Linked DNA regions of Daphnia pulex. The protein of the gene in region 1 purifies or fractionates together with the protein of each later gene. This does not show direct contact. Links are inferred from orthologs where the notes say so. Each region holds a gene or a part of one and is shown in the gene's direction. Other genes may lie near its edges.

The links.
Region 2: the proteins of armadillo segment polarity protein-like (region 1) and S-phase kinase-associated protein 1-like purify together in Homo sapiens (affinity purification with western blotting; 3 studies listed by BioGRID, with this or other methods). This does not show direct contact. The link is inferred for Daphnia pulex from reciprocal best matches to the Homo sapiens genes CTNNB1 and SKP1.
Region 3: the proteins of armadillo segment polarity protein-like (region 1) and calcyclin-binding protein-like purify together in Homo sapiens (affinity purification with western blotting; 4 studies listed by BioGRID, with this or other methods). This does not show direct contact. The link is inferred for Daphnia pulex from reciprocal best matches to the Homo sapiens genes CTNNB1 and CACYBP.
Region 4: the proteins of armadillo segment polarity protein-like (region 1) and E3 ubiquitin-protein ligase UBR5-like purify together in Homo sapiens (affinity purification with western blotting; 3 studies listed by BioGRID and IntAct, with this or other methods). This does not show direct contact. The link is inferred for Daphnia pulex from reciprocal best matches to the Homo sapiens genes CTNNB1 and UBR5.
Region 5: the proteins of armadillo segment polarity protein-like (region 1) and histone deacetylase 6-like purify together in Homo sapiens (co-immunoprecipitation; 3 studies listed by BioGRID and IntAct, with this or other methods). This does not show direct contact. The link is inferred for Daphnia pulex from reciprocal best matches to the Homo sapiens genes CTNNB1 and HDAC6.
Region 6: the proteins of armadillo segment polarity protein-like (region 1) and paxillin-like purify together in Homo sapiens (affinity purification with western blotting; 3 studies listed by BioGRID and IntAct, with this or other methods). This does not show direct contact. The link is inferred for Daphnia pulex from reciprocal best matches to the Homo sapiens genes CTNNB1 and PXN.
Region 7: the proteins of armadillo segment polarity protein-like (region 1) and transformation/transcription domain-associated protein-like purify together in Homo sapiens (affinity purification with mass spectrometry; 3 studies listed by BioGRID, with this or other methods). This does not show direct contact. The link is inferred for Daphnia pulex from reciprocal best matches to the Homo sapiens genes CTNNB1 and TRRAP.

The regions. Positions count from the first base shown.
Region 1 is NC_060020.1:4,719,673-4,722,841, reverse strand, and holds the end of armadillo segment polarity protein-like, read left to right. Parts: intron 1-44; coding exon 45-215; intron 216-274; coding exon 275-425; intron 426-487; coding exon 488-639; intron 640-956; coding exon 957-1,053; intron 1,054-1,184; coding exon 1,185-1,453; 3' UTR 1,454-1,969; downstream 1,970-3,169. UniProt on the Homo sapiens protein: Key downstream component of the canonical Wnt signaling pathway.
Region 2 is NC_060019.1:12,033,805-12,037,730, reverse strand, and holds S-phase kinase-associated protein 1-like, read left to right. Parts: upstream 1-1,462; 5' UTR 1,463-1,489; coding exon 1,490-1,620; intron 1,621-1,869; coding exon 1,870-2,000; intron 2,001-2,147; coding exon 2,148-2,356; intron 2,357-2,456; coding exon 2,457-2,633; 3' UTR 2,634-2,726; downstream 2,727-3,926. Other genes in the region: heat shock protein 90-2-like, read right to left, coding at 1-160, 228-235; GATOR complex protein WDR59-like, read left to right, coding at 3,455-3,465, 3,752-3,815, 3,895-3,926. UniProt on the Homo sapiens protein: Essential component of the SCF (SKP1-CUL1-F-box protein) ubiquitin ligase complex, which mediates the ubiquitination of proteins involved in cell cycle progression, signal transduction and transcription.
Region 3 is NC_060023.1:1,465,132-1,469,088, forward strand, and holds calcyclin-binding protein-like, read left to right. Parts: upstream 1-1,955; 5' UTR 1,956-2,264; coding exon 2,265-2,285; intron 2,286-2,401; coding exon 2,402-2,609; intron 2,610-2,678; coding exon 2,679-2,775; intron 2,776-2,835; coding exon 2,836-2,945; intron 2,946-3,010; coding exon 3,011-3,255; 3' UTR 3,256-3,323; downstream 3,324-3,957. Other genes in the region: protein SMG7-like, read right to left, coding at 1-1,536, 1,758-1,783; probable ATP-dependent RNA helicase spindle-E, read right to left, coding at 3,517-3,810, 3,881-3,957. UniProt on the Homo sapiens protein: May be involved in calcium-dependent ubiquitination and subsequent proteasomal degradation of target proteins. Probably serves as a molecular bridge in ubiquitin E3 complexes. Participates in the ubiquitin-mediated degradation of beta-catenin (CTNNB1).
Region 4 is NC_060021.1:11,107,559-11,111,758, reverse strand, and holds part of E3 ubiquitin-protein ligase UBR5-like, read left to right. Parts: coding exon 1-19; intron 20-89; coding exon 90-1,602; intron 1,603-1,667; coding exon 1,668-2,863; intron 2,864-2,938; coding exon 2,939-3,732; intron 3,733-3,806; coding exon 3,807-4,194; intron 4,195-4,200. UniProt on the Homo sapiens protein: E3 ubiquitin-protein ligase involved in different protein quality control pathways in the cytoplasm and nucleus. Mainly acts as a ubiquitin chain elongator that extends pre-ubiquitinated substrates.
Region 5 is NC_060025.1:1,310,678-1,315,408, forward strand, and holds the start of histone deacetylase 6-like, read left to right. Parts: upstream 1-1,691; 5' UTR 1,692-1,774; coding exon 1,775-1,873; intron 1,874-1,960; coding exon 1,961-2,091; intron 2,092-2,165; coding exon 2,166-2,447; intron 2,448-2,512; coding exon 2,513-2,686; intron 2,687-2,758; coding exon 2,759-2,951; intron 2,952-3,064; coding exon of another isoform or gene 3,065-3,124; intron 3,125-3,192; coding exon 3,193-3,252; intron 3,253-3,354; coding exon 3,355-3,444; intron 3,445-3,517; coding exon 3,518-3,624; intron 3,625-3,681; coding exon 3,682-3,926; intron 3,927-3,990; coding exon 3,991-4,072; intron 4,073-4,143; coding exon 4,144-4,572; intron 4,573-4,627; coding exon 4,628-4,731. Other genes in the region: speckle-type POZ protein-like, read right to left, coding at 1-731.
Region 6 is NC_060022.1:1,457,301-1,461,500, forward strand, and holds part of paxillin-like, read left to right. Parts: intron 1-19; coding exon 20-97; intron 98-190; coding exon 191-364; intron 365-781; coding exon 782-1,012; intron 1,013-1,154; coding exon of another isoform or gene 1,155-1,268; exon of another isoform or gene 1,269-1,780; intron 1,781-3,056; coding exon 3,057-3,177; intron 3,178-3,377; coding exon 3,378-3,523; 3' UTR 3,524-4,200. UniProt on the Homo sapiens protein: Cytoskeletal protein involved in actin-membrane attachment at sites of cell adhesion to the extracellular matrix (focal adhesion). Recruits other proteins such as TRIM15 to focal adhesion.
Region 7 is NC_060018.1:6,515,897-6,519,999, reverse strand, and holds the end of transformation/transcription domain-associated protein-like, read left to right. Parts: coding exon 1-1,113; intron 1,114-1,197; coding exon 1,198-1,575; intron 1,576-1,675; coding exon 1,676-1,769; intron 1,770-1,985; coding exon 1,986-2,405; intron 2,406-2,466; coding exon 2,467-3,156; 3' UTR 3,157-3,272; downstream 3,273-4,103. UniProt on the Homo sapiens protein: Adapter protein, which is found in various multiprotein chromatin complexes with histone acetyltransferase activity (HAT), which gives a specific tag for epigenetic transcription activation.

The DNA.
Region 1 (3,169 bases):
GGTTTCACATTTTATAATTTTCTAAATAATATGATTGTTTTTAGCGCTCGTCGGTTGTCAGCTCAGGCAGCGGTCAGCCACAAGGATCCTACGCCGATGGAGTAAGGATGGAAGAAATTGTCGAAGGTGCTGTAGGCGCCCTCCATATTTTAGCTCGCGAGTCCCATAACCGGGCTGTTATTCGTGGCTTGAGTGTCATCCCTATTTTTGTCCAGGTAAGAAAACGTGTTTCAAACTTGCAATCAATATGTATTAACTTTTAATGTCATTGCAGTTGTTGTACAACGAGATAGAAAATATTCAACGTGTTGCTGCCGGCGTACTCTGCGAGCTGGCCTCTGATAAGGAAGGAGCCGACATGATCGAACAGGAGGGTGCAACTGCTCCTCTGACAGAACTACTTCATTCTCGCAATGAGGGTGTTGGTAAGCTATTATTGTGCCAGTGAAAGAGATATAGACTTTTAAAAGTGTACTTCTTTGAACAGCAACGTATGCGGCTGCTGTACTTTTCCGCATGTCTGAAGACAAGCCCCAAGATTATAAGAAGAGGCTATCTATGGAGCTGACCAATTCCTTGTTCCGCGAAGACCATCATTTGTGGAATGGAGATCTGCCTTTGATGCCTCCCGATCTTCAGGTTTGATTGCATTCTCCCCTAATAACCCTATACTAATCTTTAACTTACATCATCCCACCCATTCTGTCTTCCAAAAGTTTAATCCGAACTAACCGACAACTAAACCAAGGTGAGGCACTAATTCGCATGCCTCCTGGAATGACTTTTTTTTTTTTTTCCCTTTTTGTTTTGCATGAAAACTTGCATGCATCCCCAAACGCTTTTTTATTGCCTTTTCCATTTGCCAGTCTTTTATCACCCGCTGTTTTATTATTTGTTCCAATCCAACGTTTTTATTTTATTTACATTTTTTGTTCACTTGATCGGCCGGCAAGCAGGATATTCTTGCACCTGACCAGCCTTATGAAGGTCCTTATGGGCAAGGCCCACCCAGTGTCCACTCCAACCAAGATGGAGGCAGGTCTTATCGTCAAGGTACAATTTTAGTGGTTACTGTATACATATTTACATCCGTGATTGATGAAGACAGTCAGTTGAGGATTTTTATTCGCTTTGACTTCGGATATTGTAATTTTGTGGTGTTTTTTTTTTAAATTTTCAAATAGGATATGACGCCCTACCCGTAGAATCGATGCAAGGATTGGAGCTCGGTTCACACCATGGCGGCCCACCACCTTCTGCCACATCTCCGACCATGGGCATGGGGATGAATATGGGGCATTCAATGGGTCTTCCCATTCAATCCAACAACTACGCCCCGGTAGATCACATGGGTTCTGATTTGGATTTCGATCCTCTTAACCACATGGGTCAGGCCACACCTCCCCAACCGCCCCACGATGCCCAGGCCGCTTGGTATGATACCGACCTTTAAAGTGGTTGCACCCAAACGCAAAGCAAAAGTCGAAAGATTTAAGCACTACAAAACTCCTTCTTGCATATCCACCACGATGCTCCTCTCTCCCCTTATTGCACTGACAGTATCGCAGGTCGTCCTTGCTCCATTTTTCAATGAATAACCTGCATGTTCCAAAACGTAACATGTGTACTTGTCCTCATTCCTTCTCCTGCCCACTTCTCCTCAAGCTCTGTTACCGTGTGGTGTTCTTCCTCCTCGATAATCGATTTGCATTTTCTCCCTTCCACATATTTCACCTTACAATCTCGTAACTTTTCGTGTGTATGTGACAAGGAATCCGTCTTCCTCTCCCCTATCCTCCAGAACTTAGGCGATTTTTAGCAGACAATCCCTTGCGCGTAAGATTTCCTCAATTTTTATTTCTCGTTTCGATCAACAATTTTTCAAACCCAAAATTAGATGGATACTTTGAATGTCCTCCCACCATTAGCGAGCAGCTTTGAGCCTCCCTTATTATTGATTCGATTTGTTCGTTTTTTTCTCCGTTTTTTCGACATTAAACTCTTAAAAAAAGTTTAAAGTGTATTTCTAATTATGTCTACTGCTCTCAACACAGCAAATATCTCGTTGGGTTTTTGTATGTGATGGCTTTGACCGACACCCACTTCAATTCCAGGGGTGGTGGTAGAATTTATTTTCGCCACTGGAGCTTTAGAGTCGGCGGCGGCGAGAGTAGTGGTGGTGTTGACATGGAGCAGACGGGTCGGACGACGGATACAGCATACCAGAGTCGCAGTTATGCTTTTTAATATGGCTGAATGCGGCAGCCGTGGGTCGTAAATCTCAGATGACGCAAATCGTCTGATAAGGAGCCATTCGTCTCTCAACCCCGTCTTTGCTCCTTCGGTTTTTCTTTTTTTTTCTCCTGCCGTCCGTCGTCTTGCTGCGAAAAGGCTTGTGCAGGATGCCGACTGTTTTGCGCCGAGTATAGAACGCTTGTAAAACGTATGCAAATAGCTTTGATAGAAAGGGAGAAAAAGAAGGGGAGGAGTCCGGTAGAGTGATGGCTGGCAACGGGTTAAAGTTTGCTGTAAACGAAACAGTTCCTCCCCATCCTGTCGTTGCGTCGGCCGGTGCTTATAACTCTTTCTGGTTGGTAAGAAAGGAGCGGGTTGACGGAATGGAGCGAGATGAGAAAAGGAAAGAAAAATGGCTATCCATGAAGGGATCGACGAGAGAGACTCTAGAAGTGATGAATGCCCATCTTTTTGTGCTGTCTCCAGCAGAGAGCGTCTCGCCACCTTCCAGCAGTCCCTCGAGCGATCGAGTGGTGTCGCCTTATTTATTGGACTTGGCCGGCGACAGTTGACGCTGATGATGGCTTTATGCTGAGAGCTCCGAGACCCCCCCCCCCCCCCCTCTTCTCTATCTTTCTTCTCTTTTTCTTTTTTTTTGGGGTGCAAAGCAGAAGAAGAGAGGAAAAAAGAACCATTTATAAACAAGAAGAGTGGTTGTGTTTCAAAGTCTAAAGCGTAGGAACATACGTCTTTGTCAGGGAAACGATGGACGCATTGCAGTTTGGCCGGCCGAGTAAAGAGGATATTCTTTGTAGATATTGACGTTCGCCGAGGAAACGGAAACTTGTGACAGTTGTGTGATGCTCTGGGGCTAAAAGTTTTTGTTTCTCTCAAGACGACTGAACGTCTTGAGTCCTCTTATGGCGTTACCCCC
Region 2 (3,926 bases), on another chromosome or scaffold:
CTTGTCGGCAACCAGGTAAGCAGAGTAGGAACCCACACCAAACTGACCAACCATGGAGATGTCAGCTCCGGCAGAGAGGGCTTCCATGAAAGCTTTAGTTCCGGACTTGGCAATAGTACCCAAGTTGTTAACCAAATCAGCCTTGATCATGCCGATACCACTAAAGAGAAACAGAACAGTCAAATTCGTGTTCAAATAGGAGGAACTTTTCAAATTTCTCAACTTACATATCCATGAGAGTGAGTCATTCTTGTTGGGGACAATCTTGATTTTAAGATCCTTGCCGCTATCCAACTTGCTTGGGTCAGTCAGGGATTCATAATGGATCTTGTCTAGGGCATCTGAGCAGTTGGAGATCAACTATAGAAGGTGTTGATAATCAAGCTCATAAGCTGAGCAATCTTGGCCTGGAATGTCATAGTCTCAGCTTCATCTTCCATTTGATCTTCTCCAGGCATCTAAAAAGGGAAAGGAAAATATTTCAGTAAGAAATGTTTGTCAATTGTGGTAGATTGCACTCACAAATTGAAATTCTACATACTATCTATGGACTTGAGGCATACCAAAAAATGTGTAAAAAACCAATTTGTTTGTCTAAACCAGTAGTAAAACTGGTAAAACTTACTTTGCTTTTAAACGTAAACAAACAAACCCGACGCTTTTCTGTTCACGTTTGGTGGGGATCTACATGTATACAAGGCCGCCGGGCAGTCGTAAAAACTGCCACCAAATTCGCTTCTTGTTAGGCCTGCAAACTATAGCTTTGGGTTGACACACATCAAGCCGGGAAAGTGAGCCCGTTCGACTTTGAATCGCTGTGTAAAAAATACAGCTATTAGTATATCTTCATGTGATCCATTTTGAAGACCTTTCTTTGTTTAATCTCTTTCATACAAAAATTTTCATGATAAGTAACACATTTACGTAAATTTTGTATTAATGTTTAGTGTCGTTTTGAATTTGCAGTTTGAATTGCAGCGGTGGCGTTTCGAAACTGAGCCCCGTTTGACTTAGAATCGCTGTTTTAAAAAATGAATATATTATATCTTCGTAAAATGTGATCCATTTTAAAGAGATTTCTTTTTTAAATCTAATGCCTACAAAAATTTGCGTGATTGGTGTCACAATTACGTAAATTTAAGTGTCTAATTACTGCAATTGAATTTTGCAGTTTGAATTGCAGCGGTGGCGTGTCGAAACTGAGCCTCCTTCGACTGTGACTAGAATCCCTACGGGAAACTGCGCATGGCGCCATGGCTTGGAAAAAATATTTTGGGGATTTGGCCATCTCGAATTGTGCAAAACCGGAGAGAGAAAAAAATCAGTTAATTGGTTTTATATATTGCCATTTGCCAACAAAAAGAAATGTAGAATACACAGAAGTCAAAACTCAAAAATCTCGAAAACTGGAAAAGAACACGTTTTTCATAAAAACCGCTTTAACATGACTGTTGGTATACTTTCGCCCCTTCCCCTCCGAGTGTATACTATGCGATGCGAAAGTTGCAGTGATGTTTTCCATCACAGAGCGAAACAGGGAGGAGAGGAGGGTTCATTTTTACTGAACATTTTTCAGACCAGCACCAGCGCCATTTGCTCTAGAGCAACCTTTATAGAAAAGTACGTAATTTGCTTAATTTTTTGTTGAACTCCAAGCTTAATTTTCTCAACATTATTACAATACGGACTAGAGAGTTAGAAACTCGAAAATGTACCCATAATGTTTGAGATAATTCCCATAATGATGTGATTTTCTTGACTGTTATTTTTGTTTGGAATGTGTGTGCTGGTTCTCCTGAGGGCTTGATCCATTCATTGTTCTTTGCTGCTGGACTTTTGGTTATCAAAAAGTTTTTTTGTGTATTTCAGTTTTCAGAGAACAAACACAATTCACACAATGCCAAACATCAAGCTGCAGAGTTCCGATGGAGAAACATTTGAGGTTGATGTCGAAATTGCCAAGTGTTCAGTAACAATCAAAACAATGCTTGAGGATCTAGGTAATATTTTTCAATAAGCTTAATGTTAATGTAACAAATAAAATCAAAAGTTGCACCACAAAGATATTTATAGGCAAATGCGTCATTATTTTCTTTTCAAATGCTTAAAAAAGGTAACGTTCAATTGAAATTCAATTTTGGTTTTAGGAATGGATGAAGATGACGAAGAAGTTGTTCCTTTACCCAATGTCAATTCTGCTATTCTACGTAAAGTAATTCAGTGGGCAACTTACCACAAAGATGACCCCCCACCACCAGAGGATGATGACAATAAGGAAAAACGTACTGATGATATCTCATCATGGGATGCTGATTTCCTCAAAGTAGATCAAGGAACTCTGTTTGAACTCATCTTGGTAAGTGTTCATTTTCTGATATCACACCTATGAAAACATTCTACAATTGTTTTAAGTTAAAAATGTTAGTGAAATGTAATGTACATATTTTTGTTTTTAGGCTGCCAATTATCTGGATATTAAAGGCTTGCTGGATGTTACTTGCAAGACTGTTGCAAACATGATCAAGGGGAAAACCCCAGAAGAGATTCGCAAGACCTTCAACATCAAGAACGATTTCACCCCTAGTGAGGAAGAGCAAGTACGCAAGGAGAACGAGTGGTGCGAAGAAAAGTAAATTATCTCGACGAAATTTTGTTTTCACATGTTACATGTACCTTTGTATCCAACTTCATGTTTTCAAGCCAAGAATACAATAAATTAAAAAGCAGTTTTAAGTGTATAGTCAAACAAAAGAACAAGTTGTACGAAGTTCCGTAGTGCACTGGTGAATTAACTGTATGTTTTAAAACAGCTCGTGCTTTAGACAACCTCCCGTTTTGCCAATTATAATGTACAAGTTTTGGTTTTTTTGTGTGTGTGTGTGTGTGTGTGTGTCAGTGTGTTGAACACTGCATTATTTTTAGATTTTGTTTCGTTAGATGGTCTCCTGAAAATGAGCATATCAAGAAAAAGATAAAGGGACTCGCGGATTATATCCGGGCTTAGCTACTAGAAATGCTTTGCAAGTTAGACACCATCATTGGTTTTCATAGGTAGATGATAGGCATGATACCTTGACGGCTTGACCATTAATTTTATAATTTTCCCTGCATACGTTTTGTATGCATAATATGTAGTGTTTCTTATAATGTGCATAGATTGCATTTTCTTCGTAGAAATAATTGTTCACGGGAAGTCGGAAGAAAATGTTCACTGGTGCGTGCTGATGGTTGCCGAAAGTCTATTTAAAAATTAACTATAGATTTTAACTTAAAATGATCAGTAGTATTATTATGTAAGGGTCATGAGATGATGAGACATTGATTGAATCACCACTCCGGAATGCGGAAGCATTCTCAATAAGTTCCTTTGAATCGAATCGAATCGATTTGAATTCGAAAAAAAAAAAAAAAAAATCCTTGAATCGTCTGCTACTTGCTTGCGCGTTACGCCCTCATGAATTTTCGGTTCGTCTGTTCTGTTTATATTTTCTTCTTTCAACTTTTTCTATTTCTACTCCTCAATTTAAAAAAAGTAATCAAATAATTAGATTTAATGAAGTTTGTAAATTTAATACTAATTATAATGGAAAAATGGTGTTCTCAAATGGGAATTTTATTCAATAATATAGGCTAAGTCACCTAACTGAGATTTTCTCTACTCTGTCTTTGAAATGACATTATCTTTGTGTTTGTGTTTCAATTTCTGAGCTTTCAGTTTACTTGTTTTTTAATGTCTTCAATTTTTTCTTAGGGAGAAGAAAATGGCAGCCAAATGGAGTAATGAATATGTAGTTGCTGAACATAAGGATCTACAGGTAATAATACTGTTTTAATTTTGTTTTTTTTTACTTTACAAACAAAAATAAATAATAACAAGTGGGTTCTTTCATTTAGGCAAGCACAATGGCTCTTGATAGTTCTGGACA
Region 3 (3,957 bases), on another chromosome or scaffold:
GACGGGATTGGATCATCATCGACTTTTTGCTTCAGAATGGCCGTTAGTGCCACGTTGCGCTGCGGTGGTCGAGCCAAGATTTTGATTTCCTTTACAGGTTCGATCGATAAATTTTCAATCAGTTTGTCAACAGGCGATTCATCCGGTCTCAGGCTGGAGAAAAGCCATTCGGGTTTGTCTTCGCCACTCTGCACCGTCAACGCCAAACACCCAAATTGTTGTTCAGTCAACCATTTTCCTCGTTGGATGATTCTCGACGCTCTTATTCGATGCTCATCTACTTGAGTCACTTGCGTTGAAGGCCATCTAGAAGAGGGGCGGAGTGGAGCGAATTCGAGCAATTCTAAATCTTCCGGAAGAGGTCTTCCATCGTCGTCTACGGTGAAGGAACCGTTGGATGCAAAACAAATTTGGAGCTGATTAAGTAATTTCGCTGTCGACGACCAGAGCTGGCCGCGTTTGATTTTCGTGAGCACTTGTGGCTGAGAGTGGAACCAATCGAGGACAAGTTTGATCACGCACAAGTACCTGGAGTTGGGAAGCTGTTGGTCGGGCAGTGAACAACAGGCTGTTAAGCAAGCATTGAAAACAGATGAAGCGACATCGATAGCCAACTGAAGTGATCTCTTTTGGGCGTCGGTGGCCGAGGCTGCACTACACTCGCCCACCGAATAGAGAGTGATGGTCAGCATGCGGATCAATTGTGCTGGAGTCAGGGCTTCCGTGGCCACTAGCGATGGCCAAGTCAATGTCAAAAGATTTACCGTTTGCTCCGCTTGATCCAGATCGACACCTAGTCCAATTTGTCCCTGCAGCTTGAGAAAAGCGAGAAGAAACTCTTCGGCGCTCAGTCGACCTCCGCGAGTTTTCTGGTAATTTGATACTTGCACAGATTGTTTCTTCAGGAGTTTATCGAGATTGATTCTAGCAGGTGGAAACGGATGTTTGAGGGCCAAGCTGCGGACGTAGTAAAACAGCGTGGACAGCATATCCCCCCGTGCTGATACAAGCAGTGCCAATTGGTTGTAAGGATGTCCACTTGAAGGTTCAACATTGATGGCCTGATTGTAGTATCCTTCGGCTTCAGTCAAAAGATTTCTGTATCTAGCCAAATCTCCCAAATGGATCAAGCAGTGCTGGCAGATGTAAAGGACTGACTCATTCTTGGGCTGGAGAGCATAGGAGGGGCCATTGAAGATTCCTAATTGGGCATTTCTCTTGCAGATGGATGAGCTTGTGTCGCACTGGGCACAAATTTCTTGCAGCAGAAACATGTAGAATCCAGCTGCTCCTTCCAAAAACAGTTTGAGGATGGGATTGCTACTTTTCTTCCCTTGTTTTGGTTGCAGCCCCGAGATGGGAACTTTAAAACACACATTCCACAAATCTTGCTCAACTTTCTTGTCAAGTGCATAGTCCAAATTTGACAAAATAATGTCTTTGTACAGGTTGCGTAAAACATAGAGGAAGCTGCAGTGAGAGTCATTTGTCACATCAATGACATCTGGCATAGTTGATCTGGTGTCTCCCGCTTCCCTGAGAAAAAGTAAACAACACAAACATGGTAAGTAAAACCAAAAAACATTTAATGTGACATGATAAAGTTTATCATTCAAAAACAATGTCAAGTATAGTATAGGAACATTTTTAGTTAGTTATTTGCTTTTCCAATGTAACAAGGACGAGTACTCCCACCCACTGTAACAGTTTCCAAAACCTTGCTTAAATACTCCCACGTGTTTATACGGCAATCTTACCTCCATAATTCTTCAGCCGTTCTCATTTTTAAGAAGTGGTATTGTAGGGATTGTATAATTCCCGAAATTACAATCGGGAGCAGTACTCTCTTTCACTTGCACACTCATTAAAAAAAATCTGTAATTCATTCATTCATTCAACAAATTCGTCTGCTTCTGTCTAGCCATCTAGTAGCCAAAACACGAAGCTTTTGTATTTAAAAAGCATGAATTTGAAAGAAGATTGTTCGAGAACATGCTTGGAGAGATTACGAATTTAAAAAAAGCTGCGGTTGATATTTCACACCGATCCCACCGTTGAATTATATTTTGTAACACAACACCTTGGAAATAGAACCGCAGTTCGCCATAGGCAGCACTTGGTTCAATTCATAATTGCCGTTTTTTTACAGTCAAGCAGAAGACGTCGAATTGACAAAAATTTAATCATTCCCTTGTGGTTGCAACTTGCACATTTCGTTTTGTCAAATCACTCTTACGTTGGTTTTCTTTGAGTACAGTTGCAAAATGCCTAGACCTATTGATGAAGTACGTAACATTTATTTTTTCCTAATTTTTTTGTGTTTAAAAACTTGTGTTTCATAAGATTTTCTTGATGATTGACGTGTACATGATACTAGTGTCTCGTTTGTTGAAACTTTCAGCTTCGTGCAGATGTTGATGAGCTGAAGAAATTGACAGACTTGGCCACGCGCCAATCTGTGAGAGATGTTTTGGGCATCGAAACACGCCGTTTAGAAACTGAAATCAGTCTTCAACTCAAAGACAACATGTTCAATCTTGAGGCAAAACCAGCTGCCGCAGCTGGAGCTTCTGCTGTCAGATGTTACGATGTCAAACTTACAAACTATGGTAATCTTTTATAAAATTTTATGCTGAAGAAAAGTTGATGATTTAATGTTGTGTAATTTATCTCTTTAGCTTGGGATCAGTCTGACAAATTCTTCAAGCTATTCATCACTCTGGCAGATGTCCAAACTCTTCCTGCTGAAAATGTAGTTTGCACCTTTGGTTCCAGGTACAATGATAGTTAAAAACATTTGCATTAATTCAATGACTAAACTGTATGATTTTATAGATCCCTTGACCTCTCAGTTAAGGAACTAAAGGGTAAAAATTATTCTCTGGTCATCAAAAATTTAGCTGAAGTTATTGATGCATCAAAGAGCCACTGGAAAGTAAAAACAGGTAAAAAAAATACTACACTAAAGTATAGTGACATGTGTATTAATCCTGTCCCCCTTGTTTTCCAGATTCTGTGGTAGTCTTTCTATCAAAAGTTAAACCAATCACTTGGCCCACTGTTACTATGGAAGAAAAGAAAATCAAAGAATCTAAAGCCCCCAAATTTGACGCATCAGCCAGCGACGATCCACAGGCGAGCATGATGAACATGATGAAGCAACTCTACCAGGACGGCGATGATGACATGAAGCGACAAATTGCAAAATCTTTTGCAGAAGGTCGAGGAGGTAAAACCCCTGATTTAGGGCTTTGAAAACTTAATTAAATACTTAAAGTATTTGTCAATTCTTTAACGAACAATATACAAGAAACGTTATCGAATTCTTTGTATTTTTCAAAACAATTAGCATTCATCGACTGTTTCACAAACAGGACACGATGTAGGAACAACAAATCAAAGCAATAATACCGACATATCTTAATTTTGGTTCTGGATTGAAACAATTGGTTTTACCAATACTCCAAACAAGTTTTTCAATAAGAATGCTTCATTTCAGATTAGACTGCAATCCCTTCAGGGGTTAAGCTTGATACAGTCGTGGAGTGGAATCAGAGTATCCAGTTGACTTTCAGCGACATCCGACTGTAGAAGGTTTTCGGGTTTGATGAGATTCCATTTATAGCTGGTCGAGGGTTCGAACTTGACGTCACCACGCGGTTTGGTGATGAGCTCAAACAAAAATCCAAGCGTTTTCTGACTGACTTCTCTCATGCGCTCCTGGGATGGCGCTGCGTGGTGCTGACTGAATGACGGTGCGCCCATAACGGAATTCAACCAAAATCTAATTTTGTTGATGAGAAGCACATCCTAAAGGGAGATACAATAAAAAACTGTGTAAATATTTCGTGAAATAGAAAACAACAGTATAAACACTAACCGTAAGACCAATCTCCGAGTCAAATGTAAGTTCCATATCATGTTCAGGATAGAAGGATTGCTGCTTCACTTGATCGT
Region 4 (4,200 bases), on another chromosome or scaffold:
GCGTAAAGACGAATTGCAGGTGAGTGACGATTGTGAATATTTGAATCCACGAAATTTCCCTAATCTAATGTTACTCTTTCTCTATTTAGGTGGTAAAATCGGGCTCATCCATCCGGATCCCTGATTGTTTCCAAAGACTCCCGCGACGAGTGACGTTGGCCGATCCCGGACAGATTTTAGCCTTCTCAGTAGACGGACAAGGTATTCACACGGTCAACAAAGTTGGCTCTCAGCTCAAGTACACAATCTACAATCTGAGCACGGGAAAAGCCGAGTATGAATCGAATATACCAACGGACTATACCTCGTTCATGGGCCTCAACGTCGGACGAAACATTGGACTCTTCAATACAGGAGATGGTGACGCCTTGACTCTGCTCCGTGATGGAAATGGCACAATCTACCCTTTGTCACGTGACTGTCTCGATTCTATTCGTGATCCGCATTTGCTGGATTTGCCACCAATGCGCTGCCTGGGTTTCGGTTCCCATTCTCTGCAAGGGGTTGGTCCTGGACAGAAGACTCAAGCCATATTACTCGTACTCGTCACCGAAAATCAATTATTAATGCCCAAGTTGCTGGCCTGCGATATCGATGGCGTTCGCCACGTCATGAACTGCTTAGAAACGTCTTCAGAAGCCTATCGCCTTTCCGGCGTCCAGAGTATCGTCAACGAACGCTGTGATGGTGGTCGAAACGTAATCCACGCCTGCGTATCCATGTGCTCACCAACTTCAAACAAAGATGCGGACGTTCAAGACGAGCGAAATGTAGCACCCGTCGCCAACTCCATCGCTGATCCTCTAGATCCCCTTCCGGTGGGTTTGAGCACTTCCTCCCGGGCTGTAAGTCTCAGAGAGATGATGAGGCGTGCTGCTGTTGCTCGACCATCGGAAAGTTCCACAGCCGATTCGGGAGTTCCCAGTAGTAGTTCCGTAGTCGAAGAAAACATTTCTATTCCGACGCTCAATTGGCCACCGGAACCGATGTCTTTGGAATCGTCCAATCACGGCGATGACGATCAAGCTGGCTCGAGCAGTGCCGGCGCATGTGGCTCCTCCAAAATGGCGGCTGCTGCCGTTTCCGACCCTGTTGAACGACGTGCCAATTCCTTGGCCGCGTTGAAGGCCATCACCGAGAGTCCAGCTCTGACCCCTCATCTACAGACACTCCTTTCCGCGCGTGACGCTCAAGGTCACACACCGTTCATGCAAGCGGTTGCCGTTCGTGCCTACCCCGCAGCATTACTTTTGCTAGATGTGGCCACTAGATTATTTCGACAGATTACAACGGAAGTGGACGCTCAGAAAAAGCTGTTGCAGAGTTTCATTTTTCCATTGGGCAAGAATGGCTGCAGCCCGGATGACTCACCGCTCCATGTTCTCTGTAGCAACGACACGTGCAGCTTCACTTGGACCGGAGCCGAACACATTAATCAGGATATCTTTGAATGCCGAACATGCGGCCTTACGGGATCCCTTTGCTGTTGTACCGAGTGCGCCCGCGTATGTCACAAGGGTCACGATTGCAAGCTCAAGCGCACATCGCCCACCGCTTATTGTGACTGCTGGGAAAAGTGTAAATGCAAGGCTTTGGTTGCCGGTAATTCATTTCAATGTTATTTCTACTAAAGTCTTTGATTATTAACTCTATATCTTGATTTGTAGGCAATCAAAAACTTCGATTCGAATTACTCTGCCGCTTGGTCCACGAGACGGATCTGGTGAACATACCCAATAGTAAAGGAGAGAACATACTGCTTTTCCTTGTACAGACAGTCGGTCGTCAGTCGGCTGAACAACGACAGTACAGACCCGCCCGTTCCCGATCAACTGGAATCGCCGCTTCGAGAAAAGTTTTAACATCTGAACTGGAACCAGATATGCCTGAACACGATCTAGAACCACCGAGATTCTCCCGAATGGCATTGGATAGACTTTTGAATGATTGGTCATCAGTTAAAGCCATGTTGCTCTCTGGCTACAAAGAGGAAACAGTTGCCGGTTCCAGTACCATCGCCGAAGATCAAGCATATCTTCAAAGCCAAAGTGGGACTACTTTATTGGACAAATTTACTCACTGCATGTTAGTCAAATGTTCGGTTGAAATGCTGGACAGCCTTTTGACTACGCTCATCGCTGAAATGGAGAACAAGACTTGGTGGTCGAGACAACAGGAAGCTCGTCTTGCTGCTAGGCGATTCGTGCGCTCGGTCGTCCGGGTCTTTGTCGTTTTTAGCGTTGAGATCGCTCCTCAGTCTGGAAAGAAGAAGAATAATGCTTCCAGTGCCAGTGTTACTTCACAGCCGTTGATGAAATGCAAGCGAGTATTCCAGGCTCTTATTAATCTGGCCATTGAAGAACTGTGCGAAGCAGCTGATGCCCTGATCGTACCCGTCCGGTTAGGTGTCGCCCGTCCAACTGTCCCATTTCCGTTGGTGACTTCCAACGCCGACGCCATTCATGGAAGCGAGGAACTCTTTTCCGTCGATCCCTTACAACCGCTAACACCCCGAGCAGCCGACGAAGAACACGCGGACGGCTCTTCTGTACCAACTGGATCGCTCGGTGCTGGTTCCAGCGCTGCAGGTGGTGGTCGTGCCACCACTCGCCGTATGGAGTCTGAAGAACTAGACACCATCGAAGGTGATGAAGGCGATGGAGAAGGTGACGGCGATGCTGAAGCGGACAATTCAGAACACGAAGATGCCGAAGGCAATGGTCGCGGCGGTGATGGAACTGGTCGACGAGAAAATGCTGGTGGTGAATCGGATATGGAGCTGGACCTCCTAGCAGAGACCGAAAGCGACTCGGATGACAACGAGCACGAACATGATAACGATAATCAGAGCACTCACACTCAGGTAGGTGTTTAAAAGTTGAGCAATGAACGGATTTTTTTCATTAAATTTTGTATTACTTTGTTTGAATATTTGTAGGACAACAATTCGGTCCAACGTAGTGTGCAGACAGGAGCTACAGCCGGTTCCGATGCGGCCATGGCATCCTTGGCGTTATTCTCTGATGATGAATCTGGCGATTCAACTGGTCAAGAAGAGGATGAATCGGACGGTGGTGAAACGGACGAACAAGATACGGAGGAATTTGCGTTCTCAGACGAACAACTGGAACGCCGCAATAATAACCCTTCGTCCGCCGTACCCGCCACTGCTGCTGCCCCTGTCCGTGGTACCTCTGGCATGGCTCCGCAATCGATGATGTGGGCCATTCGCCATCGAGAGAACAATGCCGTACGTGGCGCTGGCGCCAATGGGGCCGTCGGTAGTGGAAACGCTGTCGGTGGTTCAACCACCAATTTGATGTACTTAGAACCTACTTCTCTTCGCCGATCTGCGGCTGCTGCTGCAATTGCCGCCGCCACAGCTACACTTCCCGTGGTACCGGAACCCTTTTCCATGGCTACTACAGCAAGCGGATTAGCTCGGGCTTTTGGACTGGTCGTTCGTCAGATTGCAGACCTGCTCACGATGCTTTTGGATTATCCGGCACTTGCTCCCACCCTTTCGCGAAATTTGGACATCACCAACCAAGAGTCCATTCAGCTGCAACAATTTTTGGAATTCAGGTTGAAGCCAGTCTGGGATTGGCTGGTCAACGTCATGGACTCGACCGAAGCTCAGCTACGCTTTGGAGTAGCTTTATCCAACGCTTCTACACCGAACGGAACACCTTCAAACCATATTACTTTGTATGGAAGAACACCGCTGTCAAGGTATTGATTTTTTTTTATTTCCCCCCCCCCCCCGTTCCGATTTATGAGTATCTAATTCATTTTACTTTGGTTAGAATGGTTACTGCTAGTTCAGTTTTACCTTCCTCTCGAACGGCCGCATCTTCAAGTTCGGCAGCCTCTGCACTGGCTGGTTCGGGAGCTGCACCTGGAACTTACGACGGCCGTAGAGGACAGGCTGGTGGTGCTGGCGGAGAACGGGGCAACGAAGTGCCGGATCCCTTGACGGGAAGGCGCGAATTTTTGAATTACTGCCTTTCACTTATGCGGGCTCACAATGGCGAGCATTCCGACACCCTGCCCGTTATTGACGTCTCGTCATTGAAGCACATTGCCTATGTGTTCGATGCCCTTATTTATTACATGCGGTCGGGAAATGAATCCAACCCGTACGGTGATAATGGTAGTGGTGAAGAGTACATCGCTGACATGTTCAACGAACCGGTAAGA
Region 5 (4,731 bases), on another chromosome or scaffold:
TACACGAAACGAAGCAACTCGTGAAATACATCCGGATTGATGTCTTCAATTTCCACTTGATTGGACAGTTTCTCCTTGGTCGGATGTTCGAACATGGCAGCAAAGACTTTGCTTCTTGACGCCAAAATACTTTTGTGTGCTTGAAATTTTTGAGCACCGACGTTTAGAGTGACGTCAGCGTACTTGATGTTTTCGAACAAATATTCAAAGTGGTCAATCAGCTGATCACTGCAACTAATTGACTGGTCTTGGATTAGATTAGCTTTACCTGCGACAGGTTCTTTTTTCGCGTACGATTCAATCTCGCAGTGGAAGACGAGACTTCCGTTCAATTGCTGACACTCAGATTTTAGGATTGCATCTTTGAGAAAATTCAGATGGATGCTACAATAGCCATTCTTTTGAACACCGTATACTTGCTGGAGAACTTTCTGTCGTTTCCCGTTTAGGATTGATAATTTCATGCGAAAAGGGTCGACAGCCGTGACGCTCTTGAAGTTAGCGAATCCGGGAGTTGTAAGAAATAGTTGTACAGTTAATGTTGTACCCGCATCAGACAGTACTAGCTTCCACAGACGATCAGGAGTTTCTCTAGCTGAAAATAACGTTGATTCCAGAGGTTCCATCCACGCCGCAACAGTTTCTAGACATGGCACTTGAACATTCCATTCTAAATCAAGTTTTGAAATTTGTAATTCAGAGAGACAGACATTGTCCGCTGACGACTGCATGGCTCAGTACGTAGAAAAATGGCGACTGTTACAAACACGTGTTATTCTCAACAAAGATGAAATGCGAATGCCAGCTCTCACTTGAGTGTTGAGTCACTTCCCACTTCCCAGACCCCAGCATCAGCAAAATTGCAGACTGAAGGGTGAAGGGTAAGGGGCTGAAAACGAATAGAAAACGAAACTTGAAAGGGTGTGAGAAAGAGTGGGAGGGGATAGAATTTCATAGAGCCGAAGAGAACCCGAGGGAATAAAACTTTATGTTGCTAAGAGAAATTGTAATTTGACCAATTGATTGCAACTAAATACCACCGACGAAAGGGATTAACTTTTCAACCATAAAGATTATGTTGTTAATCATTGAATATGGCGTCATCTTTCATAAACCCGTAAAAAAGCCTGAAAACTGAGAAAGCTGTGACTAACCACACACATATAACTTAAGTTTTCTTGACAAATAAAAACGTCCTCCTCTCTATTATGTTTGGTCTCGTTTATTTAATTTGACGAACTCTAGAGAAGAAATTGTGCGATGATTTGTTCAGTTTGTTCTGTTTCGTCTTCGAAAATGGATGTCGTTCAGATGTCGTTCCACAAACGCATGCCGTTCGTCTGCTAGGAGAGTACTCGGTATGTTGTTTGATTTGACTTAATTATTTAATCATCTGAACTGATTAAAAATTAAGCTTTATATCGGTCGTGAATGAGTGTAACTTGACACAGTCTTACTTAAAGGGGTTGTAATCAATTTTAATAGCATAAATCACATTTCAACGGTAAACCCCGTTTCTTTGGAAATTGGAATTTAATAATTTGATTTAATAAGAAACCGTTATAAATAAATAACGCAGTAGTTTAGAATTACCTCGTATATTCATATTTCGATAGGCAATTCAAACTTCGTTCGTGCATCGGTATAATAAGTGTGAGCTTGTTTTAACCGACGCTCACCAGATGTCTCACTCAAGAGCTTGTTTGTTGACTTGCACTTGAGTTCTGTCAGCGGCTGCAGTCAAGAATTTAGCAGTCCCACAAGACAAGTCGAAATGAGTAAACAAACAAAGTTTTCGAATTTCGTGAAAGGTCGCTCACCATCGAATAAAAAAAATGAAAAATTAAATGTGTTTGTGGATCACTTGCAAAATGTAAGGACGGTTAAGACTGTTAAACGTTGTTTAATTTGGATAATGTTGAAGCTAGATGTTGATGAATGTATCACTCTGTTCTTGTAGACTCGGGATTCTAAAGATAAGATACGTGGCCAAACAGGAATTGTTTATGATGAACGGATGGTTGAACACCAGTGTCTTTGGGATCCCAATTACCCTGAATGTCCAGAGAGATTCACTCGGGTTTTGGAAAGGTCAGTTATCAGTTATATACCTAGTCTGAAATTTAAACTGCTTATGGTGAAATAATGGTTAAAAAATCTTGCAGATGCCGTGAATATGGGTTGGCTCAACGCTGTGTAGAAATTCAACCTAGAAAGGCAACTCAAGATGAGCTGTTGAAACTTCACACACCAGACAGAATTGAATTGCTCAAAGGAACAGATGGCAGTCCAGATGCTGAAGCATTAGAAGCTATCAGCTCAGGTTATGATGCCATTTACATTCATCCATCAACAAATGAGCTAGCATTGTTGGCAGCTGGATCAACAGTTGAGATGGTTGATGCCATACTGGATGGAAAGATACAAAATGGAATGGCTGTAATCAGGTAATATACATACTTTGCAAATTTTACTCCTCTCTTTTGTTTCAATTCAAAACTGATTTATTTAGACCGCCAGGGCACCATGCAATGAAAAGTGAATATTGTGGCTATTGTTTCTTCAACAATGTAGCAGTTGCAGCCCAGCATGCATTAGATAACAAGGGTGTTGAAAGAATTCTGATTGTTGATTGGGATGTTCACCATGGCCAGGCAACTCAACAAATGTTCTACGAAGACCCCAGGTAAAAAGGCATCTAGTTTATCACATGCACTGAATCAATTCTATGTGAGGGTTACCTTTATTGAATATTCAGAGTCTTATATTTCTCGGTTCATCGTTATGAGCACGGAGCTTTTTGGCCCAATCTTCGTGAAAGCGATTTTCACTACATTGGAAGTGGAGTTGGCAAAGGCTTTAACGTGAACGTGCCACTGAATAAAACGAAAATGGGTAACGCCGACTATCTGGCCATTTGGCACCAGCTGCTATTGCCTCTGGCTTATGAAGTAATAACTCATCTTGATACCATGTTTCATTTCATCTATTCAAATCGTTCAATGCATATTAATACTATGGTTAAATACGCTTGTAATTTAAAAACGCGCTTCATCTTGTTCAGTTTCAACCAGAGTTGATTATTGTATCAGCCGGCTATGACGCTGCCTTGGGTTGTTTCGAGGTAGTGTACAAGACTTCCTACTTATTCTTTTTGTTTTTCTTCTTTTCTTGTGATTTGCATGGCAATAGTTCCGCCCTGATCTTGTTCTCGTCTCCTCTGGTTTCGATTCGGCACTAGGCGACGAGAAGGTCCAACATTTGTTCTCTTCTTATTTTATATTCTACCTTTTTCTGAAGGAATTGTGAAGATATGCGGTGACTAATATTGTCAACGCCTTTTGTCAAATTTAGGGCGAAATGGAAATCACTCCCGCGTGCTACTCCCACTTGACGTCATCACTCATGGGGCTGGCCCAAGGCAAACTGGCTGTCGTTCTCGAAGTATAATCCGCTGACTCATCTATTACTCTGACCAAACCCTAGTGCTGGTCATTAATTATGTGTTTATTTTTAGGGAGGGTACTGCTTGAAATCCTTAGCCGAAGGAGCTGCTCTGACCTTGCGAACATTGCTTGGTGATCCTTGCCCAGTCATTGCAAAAGTCGAAGAGCCTTGTCAAAGGTAAAACGATTTCTTTTGACGAATATAATGCGGGCTGCATCATTTCTCTTATTGTAGTATTCAGGAAAGTATTTTGAGCGCTATTTATGTGCTTCGCCCTATGTGGAAATGTCTACAGTTCCAGGGCCGTTTTGATGCTTCAAAAGTGGGTAGTCAAAAGGAAGGAAAGCACTTTGTACCCAGTGTCACTTTTGAAGGATCTGACGTCAAACAAACATTGTTTGCCACTCGAAACTGCTACCCAGTGCAGAGCAATGAGACGATTGACCTCTTGGATCAGCGCCTTGATAAGCTCATTAAAGGTGACATGAATGATTACAAATTTTAAATAACAATTTAATTAACTGTAATTGTTTATTATTTTAGAAACGAGCTTGGCAGTGCCTAAGCATCGCGTTTGTTTCATCTACGATGAAAGAATGGCTTTGCATCGTAATATCAACGAACCGTAAGTTGAATTTTAAATTGTTTCGAGTTCTTTGTTATTTTTATGGAATTGTTTGACGATATCTTTTGCAGTGGACATCCGGAGCGACCTGCTAGAATCACTTCAATCTACCAGAAATTGATGGAATTCGGAGTGTTGGAGCGCTGCCACCGGCTGGATGCTCGAGATGCCGATCGCGAAGAATTGCTGTGGTTGCATCAGGCCGACTACATCGATGAGATTGCGGCGACCGCTGGTAAAAAGCAATCGACTCTCAACCAATTGGAACGGCAGTACGGATCCATCTTCATCTGTCCGGAAACCTATCAGGCTGCGTTGCTCTCAGCCGGCTCGTCTCTCCAAATTGTTGAAAGTATTTTGAGCGGTGAGAGTCGTAGTGGAATAGGAGTCGTCCGGCCACCGGGGCACCACGCGGAATGCGACGAAGCGTACGGCTTTTGTTTCTTCAACAACACGGCGCTGGCAGCCAAATATGCCATCGAGATTCATCATTTAGAAAGGTAATGATGCAATTCAAACTCGTTTATTAGATTAAATACGATTTATTTTATCTAGAATCCTTATCGTCGATTGGGATGTACACCACGGCAACGGAATCCAGCGGATGTTTGAAGAGGATCCGCGCGTATTGTACATTTCCTTGCATCGCTTCGACATCT
Region 6 (4,200 bases), on another chromosome or scaffold:
TCACGATTGATTCAAACAGGCTGACATGAACAAACAAGGTATCTCCGCCACCACCAAAGGATGTTGCACCGCCTGCGAGAAGCCCATCGTCGGGCAGGTCCGACTTTTTTTCATTTCCCCCTCAATTCAATTGACCCGACCATTGAATTAATTGAATTTGTATTGTTTTGTTTTGTTGTGGGGTTTTCAGGTGGTGACGGCTCTTGGTAGGACGTGGCATCCGGAGCACTTTGTCTGCTCCCACTGCCGCCAGGAGTTGGGAACGCAAAACTTTTTCGAACGCGACGGCCAGCCTTACTGTGAACCCGATTATCACCACCTCTTCTCGCCCCGTTGCGCTTATTGCAACGGACCCATTCTAGATGTACGTTGTTGCCTTTTTCCTGGTTGTTTCAACACCCACCGCGGGCCCAATTGATTTGGCAAATTCCGACCCTATTTCACACACGCGTTGGGTCCAGTTGGTCCTGGACGGGAGAGCTCTTCTCTCTCTCTCTCTCACTATCCAGAATGTATAAATAGAACTTTTAAGTGGCCCCGAACGAACTGAGCGAAGCCATCACAAGAGTCACGCACGTTGGCTGACTGATGAAACGGATGAATGGATGGACGACGGTGTCAGACAGCTGGTCTGGTTCACCTCATCACCCGAAAACTTGTTCTTGTTGGCAGCCTCTTTTTGTTGTTGTTTCTTTTTCCTAACATGTTCCTACTAACTTTCTTTTTTTCGGACGTTGTGTTTCTTTTATCGCCCCCGCGTCGCCAATTGGTTCCATTACAGAAATGCGTGACGGCGTTGGATCAGACGTGGCACCCGGATCACTTTTTCTGCACCCAATGCGGCTGCCAGTTTGGCGAGGATGGATTCCAGGAGAAGGATGGCAAGCCATACTGCAAGGAGGACTACCTGGCCATGTTCGCCCTCAAGTGCAAAGGCTGTTCCACGGCCATCACCGAGGGCTACATCTCGGCTCTCAACGGCCAGTGGCATCCCAATTGTTTCGTCTGCAGGGTAAGTTTTTCCTTATTGACGTCAGATATGTTGTCCCCTGGAAGGTAGGTTATTCTTCTAGACAATCCTATTAGTAACGTGTGTCCGTTTCGCTGTTGTTGTTGTTGTTGTTGACATTCTTATATATCTCTTGACCGAGAAGGATTGTCGCGTTTCGCTCAACGGCGGATCTTTTTACACGGTCGACTCGCGCCCAGTTTGCGGCAAGTGTATGGGCGTCGGTTCCGATGCCGAAGACGACGACGACAGCCAATGAAGTGACCCCCGTGACCCCAAAACAAAAAAACAAAACAAAAACAAACCAAAATGTGTTTGAAAATTTTCAAGGAAGAAGAAAAACACAAACCCAAAAAAACACACGGCGCTTCTTATCTCACTTCTCCTTTCGCACACTTTTCTCTCTCTCTCTCTCGCTCCTCTTGAAGTAGTTTTGGCCACTCCCACCAGAAAAAACAGTCCCGAGTTTTTATTTTACAAAATAAGAAACCTGACAAACCAAAAAAATGATGATGATGTTCTAGTCCTGAAAAATAACAACACACCCACCGCGCGACATGCCCAAGTGCCTCCTCTTATTTAAAACAAATTTATTATTGGCTCATTTTTTGGCTGTTTCTTCTGACTTTTTTTCTTCTTTCTATCCCCCTTTCGCTCTCTATTCTCTCTCTCCATTTTGTGTGTTGTGTCTTGTTATGTATGTTGGCGATGATGAATCTTTTTCGCACAAAATGACAATGAAAGAAAACAAGTTAAACCAAAAACCAAAAATACCTGAAAAAAGAGTTCCACTCGAACGAGCAAATCATACTACTACTCTACTGCTGCTACTTTTTCCAGTTTGGTACATATAGTCAGAGAATAAAACAAAAAAGAAACAAAAGATTAACGACTCTTCGGTGGCGGGGAGGCTCATGCACTATTGGATGGATGGTATAGTTGGACTGGTTTGGCGGGGTAGTAGTAGCAGTACAGTTCGTTTAGTTCAGTCACATTTCTTTTCTATATACAACACACACACCCGTTGGGTGGGTTTATTTTAACGATGCGGATGAGTTCACATCGTTACGCAAAATGAGCGCTGCAAAGTAAAAGGCAAGTTCGTCATTCTCGTGAACTCCCCATGGTTCGGTTCACGCAATGGGTTTCTTCTTCTTTTTGTGTGTGTAGAGCCGGGTTGAATAAATCAGTCAAGTCGTGGGAGGGCGGAGACAAGCTCCGAGCCGGGATGAAGTTGCTTACCTTTGAGCTTCTTCTTCTTTCAAAATTAGAATTCGTTATTTTTGTATTTTGGCTTCTTTTTTGCGCGCTAGTCTTGTCCATTTGATTGTTGTCATCGCTTTTTAAAGCTTTTGGACCCGGGGGTTTGAATAAAGCGCTTTGCACAGCTGTGCCCTCCTCCCTCGGTCGATCTTTACCAGCAGAAAAAAAATTTTTTGAAGCCAGCTTTCGAGGAACTGTAAACGACCGGATGACGCATGGCGTGTCATAAGAGATTTCTCCGGTGCCGCTCTAGCGAAGTAGAAGAAGAGGGATACTATCTATAGGCTGGCGAAAGCGTATAAATAAAGACATCCTTTCTCTCGACTCTCCTTTTTTCTATTCTCAGAACATAAAAGACACGTACGAAAAAAAAAAGTTATATTTTTTTTTCGGGTTTTTGAAAATTCGCCGCAGAATGGCGCGGACTTTTCTTCTTTTTATTTTCGCCTATTTTTGGGCTCTTTGGAGAGGCTTTACTAACTACGACCAGTAGTTGGCTGTCAAACAATCACTTAGTCTCGGGCTCTTGACCCTCTTTTCTGCTAGCTCCTCCTTCGCCATTTCCCTTGTAGTCGTTATTAACATTTTATTTTTAAAAGCGACTCAATGAAAGGCATTTCTTTTCCAACAACAAACGGCGTACGGGTGACGTTAAGGGTGTCTAATTAAAAACAACAATTACCCCCCCCCCCTCACTTAGTAATTAAGCAAATATGGATCTTTTGCTAATGCGATTATTAAATTGTTATTTTTTTTTTTTTTTCCCCACCATTCCAACTTGCAGGATTGCAACATGCTGTTCCAGGGCGGATCGTTCTTCGTTCACGAGGGTATGCCCTACTGTGAGATCCATTACCACGCCAAGAGAGGTTCGCTCTGCGCCGGATGCCATAAGCCGATTACCGGTAACGATTTTCTTCTTCTTCTTTATTTTCTCTTTAATAGACATCCCCCTCCCCCCCCCATAACACTTGCGTGAAAAAACAACAACCGTTTAACCTCATTTTCTCTATTCACCCATTATACTGTAACTGCTGTATACGATGTGAATGAATTTGTTTGTTATTGTTCTTTTGTTATCACGCGAAAAACAAAACAAAATCAGGTCGGTGCATCACGGCCATGTTCAAGAAGTTTCACCCGGAACACTTTGTCTGCTCCTATTGCCTGAAACAGTTGAAGAAGGGCACGTTCAAAGAGCAAGGAGACAAGCCGTACTGCCACGGATGTTTCGAGCGCCTATTCGGATGAAAAACCAAAACAATTCCGGAAGGGAATGAAACAACAACAACAAACAATAATGATTTTGAAAAATGATTCATTTCTTCTTTTTTTTAATGATTGGGTGGGGAAGTACAACTGACGACGGACTCCACGTTTACAATGTAATAACACATGTGAAAAGATAACCCCCCCCCCCCACTCAATCCACATCGAATTCTATTTTTCAATGTAATCCCCGCCCGCCCACGCCCCCCATGAAGGAAACCAGCGCATAAAAAAAGGAAAAGAAAATGACACGCAGACACATTTTCTATATACTTACACTACTACATTACAGTATAAATCTTTATTCGATTTCTACCATAAATATTCTTAGGGCGACATCCCATGAAACCAATTTTTTTCCTGGTTAATCGGTTAACCATTTTTTGGGGGGGTTTTCCAGCCAACGTCTTTTGCCTCTATCGGCTCATCTTTCAAAGTGGTTTCTCTAGTTTGTTTAGTTGTCATTGGATAAACCAAGTGGTGAGGAAAACAAAAAAGGAAATGAAGTTTTAAACCTCCCTCCCGCTCCTAACGCTTGATTCACCGCCGAGACGCACAAAAAACTACGCAAAACTAATGATGTTTTTTTTTTAAATAGTAAAACTTATACAATAAAAAAAGTCAAATAGAAAATCGAAGTGGAAAACGAAAATGGTATG
Region 7 (4,103 bases), on another chromosome or scaffold:
CGCTGACGACTTGAGTCATTGGAGCGATGTATTCACGTGGAGGCAACATCACTATCAGTTCATCGTGTCCCATTATGATCAGCAAAGCGATCAACAGGCCAGCGCTCAATCTATGCTTGGAGTTCACGCCTCTGCCCAGGCTATCATTCATTTCGGCAAAGTGGCTCGAAAGCATAATTTAACGGGTGTGTGCCTTGATTCGTTAGCTAGGATCTACAGTATTCCCAGCGTTCCGATTGTCGATTGTTTCCAAAAAATCAGACAACAAGTCAAATGCTACCTTCAAGCTGCCAACGTATTGGGGAAAAATGAACTACAAGAAGGACTCGAAGTCATAGAATCAACGAATTTGAAATACTTTGCCAAAGAAATGACGGCGGAGCTCTACGCATTAAAAGGAATGTTATTAGCTCAGATTGGCAGAGCAGACGATGCTAACAAAGCTTTTTCAGCCGCTGTACAAATGCATGACACGCTCGTTAAAGCTTGGGCCTTATGGGGTGACCATTTGGAACAAGTTTTCACCAAAGACTCTCGCAACATCGGGATCGGAGTTTCTGCAATTACGTGTTTCTTACATGCGTGTCGTCACCAAAACGAATCCAAATCAAGGAAATATCTGGCCAAGGTGCTTTGGCTTTTGACGTACGACGATGACAAGCTTTCATTAGCTGAATCCTTGGACAAATATTGTGTTGGAGTTCCGCCAGTGCAATGGTTACCTTGGATTCCTCAACTTCTGGTGTGCCTTGTTCGTGATGAAGGGAAGTTAGTGCTCAACTTGTTGAGTCAAGTTGGTCGGATGTTTCCACAAGCAGTGTACTTTCCCATCCGCACTTTATACCTGACGCTGAAAATCGAGCAGAGAGAGCGCTATAAATCTGCGGAATTGGCTGCTAATCAAGCTTCCACCGAGACTAGTGCTAATGTCACCAATGGCGCACCTCAAAGCAGCACTCCAGCTGCTGGGATGGAAGGAGCTGGCCCCATCAAGGCTACCGAACCTATGTGGCGTTGCTCACGGATCATGCACATGCAGAGAGACTTGCATCCCACTGTTTTGTCTTCTCTTGAAGGCATCGTCGATCAAATGGTTTGGTTCAGAGAAAATTGGTAAGAACATCATCTAATTAAATATTCTTAGATTAAATTTCAAAATTTGAAATTGACATTTTTTTGTTTTGCTTGCCTTAATAGGTATGAAGAAGTACTACGTCAGTTGCGACAAGGTCTCGCAAAATGTTATGCCATCGCTTTCGAAAATCGAGGATCCGTTGCCGAAGCCACAATCACTCCGCACACGCTGAGCTTCGTGAAAAAACTGGTGGCGACTTTTGGAATAGGCATTGAAAACATTGCCAATTCTGCAAGTGGTTCTTTTAGCAGTGCTGCATCCGAAAGTTTAGCACGTCGAGCTCAAGCCACAGCTCAGGATCCAGTGTTTCAACGAATGAAAACTCAGTTTTCAACTGATTTCGACTTCACTTTGCCCGGCGCCATGAAGCTTCACAATCTTATTCACAAATTGAAAAAGTGGATCAAGATTTTGGAAGCCAAAACTAAACTATTGCCCAGGTATGAAATTATACTTTTCGGAAATTACATTCATTATATTTTGCCATGAAAAAGTTTCCTCAGCCTAATTTATATATTCCAATTTGTGTGATTTATTTAGGTCTTTCCTTATCGAAGAAAAATGTCGGTTCCTCAGCAACTTTAATCTACAAACAGCGGAAGTAGAACTTCCCGGAGAATTTTTGCTTCCCAAGGTAAACAAAATTTCTTCTCACTTTATGAAACCCAATAAGAAATGTCCGCCAAAAATGATGAAAAACTTATTAACAAGGACTGCTCCCATATTGGTCGAGCTATTCGATGACGGTTGCTGATAAGATCTGATTTGGTTTTCGTTACTTCGATCGATTTCCTGTGTTATCATTCTATTTTTATATAAATTCTGAATTTACTACGCTTTCCCGTTTTAGCACACGCATTACTATGTCCGGATAGCCCGTTTCTTGCCGCGCGTGGAAATCGTTCAAAAGCATAACACGGCAGCCAGGCGTCTCTACATTCGAGGACACAATGGAAAGATCTACCCATACTTGGTTGTGAACGATGCAGGTCTCGGCGACGCTAGAAGAGAGGAACGTGTTTTGCAACTGCTTAGAATGTTAAACAACTACTTGAACAAGCATAAGGAAACGTCAAAGAGATTCCTGAACTTCACTGTACCTCGTGTTGTGGCTGTTTCTCCACAAATGAGACTAGTAGAAGACAACCCATCCAGTGCTACGTTACTCGATATTTACAGGCTACGTTGTGTTAAACGAAACATTGAACATGATATGCCCATCGCTAAATACTATGAAAGATTAGCCACCATTCAAGCAAGAGGAAGTCAGGTAAGCAGTCTCCCTTATTCTATTTTGATGGTCAAATTTTCAAACTTTTCTTTGTAAATAGGCTAGCCACCAAGTTTTACGAGATATTCACAAAGACGTACAGCAGATTATGGTTCCACGAACTCTGTTGCGTGAATGGGCCAACGTCACGTTCCCGTCAGCCACATTTTATTGGACATTCCGAAAAATGCTGACGCTGCAAATGGCTCTGGTCAATCTTGCCGAATACGTGCTACACCTCACACGACTCAATGCAGATATGCTGTACATTCATCAAGATTCGGGCCTTCTAAGTGTATCATACTTTAAGTTTGATGTTGAAGACTCAAACGGAGAACTCGATGCCAACAGACCTGTGCCTTTCCGTCTAACGCCAAACATGGTTGAGTTTTTGACAATGATTGGAGTGGCCGGTCCTCTTACCGCAAGTATGATTGCTGCGGCTCGTTGCTTGGTTCAACCGAGTGTCAAAGTCGCTGCTATTCTGAAAGCAGTTTTGCGAGATGAGATGATAGCATGGCACAAGAAGAAAACTGCCGACGAGAAGGAAAAGGACACTGGTGGAAGTGGTCAGGTGGAGGGAGAAATTTTGATTGGTTTGGTAAATAAAGCCGTTAATGCGATAATAAATAGGCTACAAGGGTTATCAACCTTTGATGGAAATGAGTCTAAAGTCAGCACTTTGGTCGCCGCTGCCAATAGTAATGACAATTTGTGCCGGATGGATCCAGCTTGGCATCCGTGGTTGTAATGTGCGAATGTTTCTATTGTGTTTAGTATACTGAAAAAAAAAAACTGTAATTCGACTTCTACGTAAGTAGAAAAACTCGGTTGATTAATAATACACTTGTCAATTATTTTACGTGACTATTCTTATTTATTACCAAATTGCATCTTGTTTATTAGTTATTACCAAAAATCAGAATATTACGATTGCAAAAAACTGGGTATTTTAGACCTTCCAACCCTCGAAAAGTCTTTTATTCTAATTCCAATTATATTTTATAAAAACTTTAACCTACTTATAATTTCTTAGAAGGGCTTTTTGCCTTTTTATCAGCGGTTAGTCGTGATCAATGATTTCACGTCTCCCCAGAGCAATAGATACCTGGTCGGTTCTCGGCCGTGTTGGCTTCCCTATCCCGGTTTTAGGGTAAACGTATCCCCGATTTTCAGACATTTTAGGGCGGAGCTTGTCAGAAGTTGTGAAGTGGTAAAAATGAAACAGCGCCATCTAGTGATAAGACGTTGACTTTCAAATAATACTTTCGGCGGCCATTTTTGTGTAATATGTGAATACGGCGGCCATTATCGTGTATTACGTGAATGAAGCCTAACCATAATTTCTGTAAAAATGGTTGGCAGGTGTGCTGTTCCTGGTTGTAAATCAACATATTTCAAAGGAAATCAAAAAGAAAACGAGGTTACCCTGTTTGCAATTCCTAAAACTTCATTATCTAAATGGCGAGAACTAATTCCATGTAGTTATTTGACGAGCACCTCACGTATTTGCTCCCGTCATTTTGACGAAAGTGACTTCAAATCAGGGATTTAAATTTTGAACGTGTTCCATCCTTTCAAACGTAGGAATCGTAATGCTGGAGCAATTCCCAAACATTTTCTGATAAATGGTATTGATATTACATTTCCTGTATAATCTGTAAAGCACAGAAACTGAACCATTTTCATTTTAGATAC